Linked DNA regions of Pelodiscus sinensis. The protein of the gene in region 1 interacts with the protein of each later gene in a pairwise test. Links are inferred from orthologs where the notes say so. Each region holds a gene or a part of one and is shown on either strand. Other genes may lie near its edges.

Region 1 (3,747 bases):
GAGGAGTGAGTAGGGACGGGTGATGAGGGGCAGGATGAGTGGCCGGGGAAGAGATGGGGGGACAGGAGGAGTGTGTAGGGACGGGTGATGAGGGGCAGGATGAGTGGCCGGGGAAGAGATGGGGGGACAGGAGAAGTGTGTAGGGACGGGTGATGAGGGGCAGAATGAGTGGCCGGGGAAGAGATGGGGGGACAGGAGAAGTGTGTAGGGACGGGTGATGAGGGGCAGGATGAGTGGCCAGGGAAGAGATGGGGGGACAGGAGAAGTGTGTAGGGACGGGTGATGAGGGGCAGGATGAGTGGCCGGGGAAGAGATGGGACAGGAGGAGTGAGTAGGGACGGGTGATGAGGGGCAGGATGAGTGGCCGGGGAAGAGATGGGGGGACAGGAGGAGTGTGTAGGGACGGGTGATGAGGGGCAGGATGAGTGGCCGGGGAAGAGATGGGGGGACAGGAGGAGTGTGTAGGGACGGGTGATGAGGGGCAGGATGAGTGGCCGGGGAAGAGATGGGGGGACAGGAGGAGTGTGTAGGGACGGGTGATGAGGGGCAGGATGAGTGGCCGGGGAAGAGATGGGGGACAGGAGGAGTGTGTAGGGACGGGTGATGAGGGGCAGGATGAGTGGCCGGGGAAGAGATGGGGGGACAGGAGGAGTGTGTAGGGACGGGTGATGAGGGGCAGGATGAGTGGCCGGGGAAGAGATGGGGGGACAGGAGGAGTGTGTAGGGACGGGTGATGAGGGGCAGGATGAGTGGCCGGGGAAGAGATGGGGGACAGGAGGAGTGTGTAGGGACGGGTGATGAGGGGCAGGATGAGTGGCCGGGGAAGAGATGGGGGACAGGAGGAGTGTGTAGGGACGGGGGCTGGGGGGACAGAATGAGTGTCCGGGGCCGGGCAAGCGACCGGGGGACGATGGTTTGCAGGGAGCAGCTCTCTACAAGCCACCGCGGGAGAATGGTCTATGAGCAGGGACGAGGGGGTAGGAAGAGGATCAGAGCCGGGGGAAGGAGGGGGTTCCCTGAAGCTGTGGGGGGGGGGGCGGGACCGGGGGCGGAGACAAGAAGGGGGCGGGACCCGAAATTCCCCCTCCCCGGCGCCCTTTGCCCCCTCCCCTGGCTCTCCCCGGTTGCGACGTCACTTGTTATGTCTCCGCCGGCGGCTCGGGCTCCGAGGGGGGGCGGGAGGCAGGCGGCGGCCGCCGGGCGGGGGAGGCCGGGACTCGGAGCCCGCAGGCAGGCGCTAGGCCCAGCCTCCCGCCCCGCTGACTACCCAGTCCCGGGCGGAGACCATCCTTGAGGGCTTCTGTCCCCCGGCTGCTCCCCATCCCCCTGCCTACCTGGGGGCCTCTCCCCCAGCCTGAGTGCACCCCCATCCCCTCCCCGGCCAACTTGGCAACCCCCCTGAAATCTCCTCCTCCCGTCGCTGACTGGGGACCAGGGCCGCCGGGAGAGAGCCCAGGAGCCGGGGCCAGGAGGAGGATCCGGGCGGCAGCAGCAGAGGGGTTATTGGTCTGAATAATTCGCTCCTTCCCCCGTCTCCTCCATTGGGATCTCTCTCTTTCTCTCTCCCCTAGGATTGGCTCTCTTCAGAGAGTCACATAGAGAGAGGAAAGATGTGGCTGAAGCTGTTTTTCTTGCTTCTCTATTTTCTGGTCCTGTTTGTCCTGGCCAGGTTTTTTGAGGCCATTGTCTGGTATGAAACTGGCTTCTTTGCCACCCAGCTGGTGGACCCCGTGGCCCTGAGCTTCAAGAAGCTGAAGACCATTTTGGAGTGCAGAGGGCTTGGGTACTCTGGGCTGCCGGAAAAGAAAGATGTCAGGGAGCTGGTGGAGAAGTCAGGTAAGAGATCATACGTAAGAAGATATTTCACCCATTAACGAGAGATGTGCTGGCTTTTTCCCCCCCTAGGAATGGTTTTTCTGTAGTTAAAAAATCTCTGAGCACTTGATTTAAAAAACTTTACACATTAACTGCTTATTTTGGAACAAAATCATCTCTGTAGTAATACTCTTACATTCCTAATAGCAGTTTTTGTACTGAAGGATCCTAAAGTGCTTTCCAGATTGTTCATACCCTACAGCACCACTGAAGTGTAGCCCCTCTGGGGTGTAGGATAGCAGCCAGCTGGCACAGGCCATGCTGTGCAACACTAATGTGTGAGGAGGGAAACTTTGGCCAAGGACATCAGTCAAAATCTACTTATGAAAAGTATGATATGTCTATGATGAAGGGACAGAGCCTCAGCTTTTCCAGTCTTGTCAAACTGTTATATACAATACGCATATCTTTTTCCCAGCCTGGTGTCTGTCCACCTTTATGGGTTAACAGCTCTCCAAGAAGTATTTAAATAAATAACCAGTTGTCTCAGTAGACCAAATAATAAAATATTAGTGTGATAAATGTAAGAGATTATTCCAAAAGCTGTAGAACTGTGAAATACATTAAATTTCTTACACAAGTCATATATGTGAATAGCATATTATACCATCTATCTAAAATATCAGCCTTCTGTATTCAGTCAAACTTGAAAACTTGAACAAAGGTTTTGGTTTCAGGAAAGAGAATATTTCAGGGAAGTTACTCTGAGAGGCTGTGGGATGATTGAATCTGAATGTTAGATTATGTTTGCACAGTAGGAAATATACTGTCAGCTTTGCTTCTAGGTATCAAACATTTGTTTTTCTCCCAGTGCATCCTCCGTGCTACTGTAGCCCTCAGTAATTTAACTATATAGGCCAAAATATTAAGCCTTTAGAAGGGCACTGTCTTGGGCCTAATTTTGGTCACGTTAGTCTTGTCCTGGTGTAACTCCACTGACTTACCATTGATATTACCATAGTGCTTAAAGGTCTCAGTTAGGACCTCCATTCTGATGTGCTATGTAACTTAACTCCTGTGCCAAATAGCCTGCTGTCTAAAAAGGCAAATGACCTTTGGAGCTAGATTCACAAAGGGATTTAGGCATCTAACTGCCAGTTTAGTTGTATAAAATCCCAGATACCCACTAGTACTTAAAAAGTCCCACTCAGCTGCCACCTAACCCTGAAGGTGCCTAAACTCACTCAACACCCAAGTTTTTGCAGGAAAAGTTCCCTAGATGCCTATATTTCTGCCTCAGAGCATGCACTCTGATACTGCTCTCTAGGTGTCTGGGTGCCTGAGTCCCAGTGTAATTCATTATCTGGAGGAAGATAAGTGCTCCTCTGCCGGACCTAACTCACTTGTGAGGCCCAATCCAGTTGTTGTGTTCTGATTATATCTAACTCCTCCCAAAATGGCCAATGATGGCAAGAGGTGTTCCTACATATATTTTAGCCCGTTGCCGTTTTACCTAGTCTTGTTACAATGGAGGTCCATATAACCCTAAGCACAACATTACGTGGGCCAAACAGATTCTACATATTTTAGTAAGATTTAAAGTCACGTGTATTGATTTTTATATTCAGCTTGTTTCATATGTATGTGGATATGTTGCTTCTATGTACAGTAATGTCTGTTTACACCCTTGTGTGCACTCTGTCATGTGCCCAATGACTCTAATTACTTATCTGAAGCGGAATAGCAAGTGGTAGATCAGGCATCAAGCACTACTGCCAGTGGGGGGGACTTGAACCACTGGGTCACAGACATACCAGCTGAATATCCTAGACATTGGGCTGAAAGTTGTGGGGCAACGCTTCCTCTCCCCTGCTCAGTTTAAAAAAAAAAAAAAAAAAAAAAGTAATACCCTAAGCCGGTTGACAAATTGTG
Region 2 (3,747 bases), on another chromosome or scaffold:
AGATCCTTGCATTCTGTACTCTCTCTCACGTGACATTTAAACCAGGATATACCCATTTTATCCTTGGAGCAGCCACCTTCCATTATATCTCACTCCTTTCATTTATGCACGATACTAGCCCATTGATGTCCCCTATTGCACTCACATTTCTTAAATGTAATGCCTCATGCAACTGCTTCCTTTATACATAACTCCTGCACACACCCCTATGCACCTATGTTCAATTACACATAACCTTGTTCCCAGAAATTAAGCTCCTTATATATATATCTCTCCAGGAATCCAGCTCCCTCCCACATAACCCACCCGCTCAGGTGCCGAGCTCCCCTCACACCTATCCCCCCAGGTACTGAGCTCCCCTCCCCACCTAACCCAACTGCCTGGGCACCCATCTCCCCCCCACACCTAACCCACCTGCCCTGGCACTCAGTTCCTCCCCACACCTAACCCACAAGCCTTGGCACCAGCCCCCCCCACCTAACCCACATGCCCAGGCACCTAGCTCCAATCCACACCTAACCCACGTGCTCTGGCAACACAGCTCCCCCTCCCCCCCCACATAACCCACTTGGCTGAGCACCCAGCTCCCCCCAACACACCTGCCCAGGCCACTTGGCTGAGCATCCAGCTCTCCCCAACACACCTGCCCAGGCACCCAGTTGCCCCCCCCCACCTACCCCACCTGCCCTGGCACCCAGTTCCCCCCCCACCTATCCCACCTGACCTGGCACCCGGCTCCCCCCCCACCTACCCCACCTGCCCTGGCACCCAGTTCCCCCCCCACCTACCCCACCTGCCCTGGCACCCGGCTCCCCCCCCCCACCTACCCCACCTGCCCTGGCACCCGGCTCCCCCCCCACCTACCCCACCTGCCCTGGCACCCGGCTCCCCCCCCCACCGACCCCACCAATTCCCATCCCCCCACTCCCGGGATCCTCTTGGACCCGATTCAATGGTCTCATCCCAGCGTGCCCGCCGGCGTGTCCCTTTAACGCGCGCTCCCGCCAGACCGCTGCGCCCCCGCGCCAGGCCGCTTGTCATTTTTTTTCTCCTCCCCCCGTGCGCGAGCCCGCCCCGCCCCCCGAACCCCGCGAGCTCCCGGCTCATTGGCTGTGGGGAGCGCGCGCGCGCGCGGCGCTGTCGGGTGCGCGCGGCGGCAGCTTCACTTCTCTCCGGGCAGCGGCGGCGGCAGCAGTAGCCGAGGGGGCAGCGCGCAGCCCCCACCCTTCGCCTGGCCCCAGCCGGGCCGCCCGCAGCCTGAGCCGGCGTCAGCCCCAGCCCTGAGCCCGCCCGCAGGTAACGCTCCCCGCCTCTGTCCCTCCCGCTGCTTGCCCCCCGCAGCGCCCTCCTGCCCCACCCCCTCCCCCGCCCGCCCCGCCCCTTTCCCGCCCAACCCCGGTGCCCGCCTGCCCCCTCCCGCATCAGCACCTGCCCCCTCCCCTCCCCCCTCTCCCGCATTCACCTGCCCCTCCCAGCCGCCTGCCCCATTCCTCTCCCCTTGGCCGCCACCCCCACATCCCTCTGCCCTCCCTGCTCCACTCTTCTACTTTCCTCGCTCGGCCCTCCCCTCCCCTCCCCCCATGCCGCTAGCTCCCCCCTGCCCTGTTCCTCTGCCCCCTACCAGCACCACCTGCCCCATTCCTCTTCCTCCCCATCCCTCTGGCTGCTCCAGCATCACTTGTCCCCTGACCACATCCCCTGCTCCTCTGTCCACTCCATCCTCCTTCCATAGCCCACCTTATCCCATTCTTCCGCCATAGCCTTAACCCCCTGCCCCTTCATCCATCCTCCCCAAAACATAGTCCCACCAATTCCTATGTGCTTCCCACCCTAGCTCCATCAGTCTCTGTTCTCTTATACTTACTATGTCCTCTGCCTCACCATCTGCCCATTCCTGTATTCTCCAGCTAACACTGCCTGTCCCACATCTCTTTCCCCAGCTACTTCTGTCCCACAGCTCCCCAGAACATTTGTGTCCTGTGTCATTGCTACCACATCCCCCACCCTTTGACACCCCACCACATCTCACTGCAACAGCCCCATCCATCTCCCTGCCCCCATACGCTCACCATGTCTCCCTGCCTAGCCCCATCAATTTGCCCCTCTTCCCTTTGGTACCCCACATCCTTCCTGCCTCTGTTCCTCACCCAGGGTCCTAGCAATGCCTTCTCTCAGTTTTCCTACAATACTAATTGCATCCTCCAGCAATCCCTCCTTCACTATCCCCTACAGTACTCCCCCACACAGGTAAAGACCACCTTCTTTTGCCTCTAACCATCCTTGTATCATCACCAGTAATTCTTTACCTTTTGTTCTTCTCTGCATTGTCCTTCTGTCCCCTAGAAATACCCTTCCTGCTCCTTAGGACCTTGTTCTTAAACGCCCCTTATCCTTTCTCTGCACTCATGCACAGACATGTATATGGGTCAAATAATTCCATTCCCCCATAAATCCCTTATCTCTGTTCTCACTGATATAAACATCCCCTCAAGGAGAGGGATGGGGAGAAATCCCCCTTCCAGAAATACATAAGGATGGGAATTAGAATTCCTTACTGGTATTTGCTACCTTATGCAACTACCTCTTCTACAGCAGAGATGGATAAACCACTCCACTCATGGTGACAAGAGCAAACTAATCCCGTAGCTCATCTTGCCCAACCCCCATTTCTTCCTTACATGACCTCTATGCTTTCCTTACAAATTCTTCTCCTGCTATTATCTGCTGTCCACTACTTCTCACCCTAATGCCTCTGCCCCATATCCTTTCTCTTCCATCCTCTCTTTCCACTTTCTCTGTATTACTTTGTGTGGAGGAAGAAAGGATCTGGAATGTGCAGGATAAATGTCATTTTGAAAAATGCCCATTTCAGTCCCCTGCTATCTTTTTGTACTGCTTAATTATGTTGAGTCTCTATGACATGTGCCTCTCCCTCCCACTCCAGGCAGCAGGAAAACAGGAGAAGGGGGGGTGTGTGTGTGTGTGTGTGTGTGTGTGTGTGTTGAGTCTCTATGACATGTGCCTCTCCCTCCCACTCCAGGCAGCAGGAAAACAGGAGAAGGTGTGTGTGTGTGTGTGTGTGTGTGTGTGTGTGTGTGTGTGTGTGTGTGTGTGTGTGTGTGTGTGTGTGTGTGTGTGTGTGTGTGTGTGTGTGTGTGTGTGTGTGTGTGTGTGTGTGTGTGTGTGTGTGTGTGTGTGTGTGTGTGTGTGTGTGTGTGTGTTGGTCTGGAGCTGCAGCAGCATTTTATTTTTTGGTCCCTCAAACATAGACCCTGGCCTGGGGTTGGCTATGAATTGGACTCTTCCTGCTTTTTCTCCTGTAATGTTAAGATTTTTTGTGTGTGCCCTTAATGGTTTCTAATTAAGATGGAGCGAGGTAGCTGCTCCTGCTACTGCTTTCCATGGACCCAGAAGAAAAGTTGCATTTGTCCTTTTGGTTCTAAGAAATCAAGTCAATTTAAGAGAGGCATCATCCCTGGCTCTCTTGCCCTCAGGACCTATCTGCACATTGCTGGAATCTTTTTTTTCCCTGGCTGCAGCTGTTGTTTTTTGATGGCGGGTTGATTGGGTAAATGAAATAAGTAAGTTGTCTTGAACATGTTTGGTTTCAAAATTTACAGATCGGGTTTAATATCAAGGTGTTTAAATACATCATGATTCTTTAGGGTAATACTTGTAATCCTCCTTCTGTTCCCTCCATCCAGCTCTCACAATACAAGGGCAGCAGAGGGTTTAAATTCTGAATGT

What was found.
Region 2: the proteins of E3 ubiquitin-protein ligase RNF103 (region 1) and ubiquitin-conjugating enzyme E2 E2 interact in a two-hybrid assay, tested with the Homo sapiens proteins (2 studies listed by BioGRID). The link is inferred for Pelodiscus sinensis from reciprocal best matches to the Homo sapiens genes RNF103 and UBE2E2.

The regions. Positions count from the first base shown.
Region 1 is NC_134715.1:122,872,993-122,876,739, reverse strand, and holds the start of E3 ubiquitin-protein ligase RNF103, read left to right. Parts: upstream 1-1,096; 5' UTR 1,097-1,610; coding exon 1,611-1,836; intron 1,837-3,747. UniProt on the Homo sapiens protein: Acts as an E2-dependent E3 ubiquitin-protein ligase, probably involved in the ER-associated protein degradation pathway.
Region 2 is NC_134712.1:189,668,970-189,672,716, reverse strand, and holds the start of ubiquitin-conjugating enzyme E2 E2, read left to right. Parts: upstream 1-1,125; 5' UTR 1,126-1,296; intron 1,297-3,747.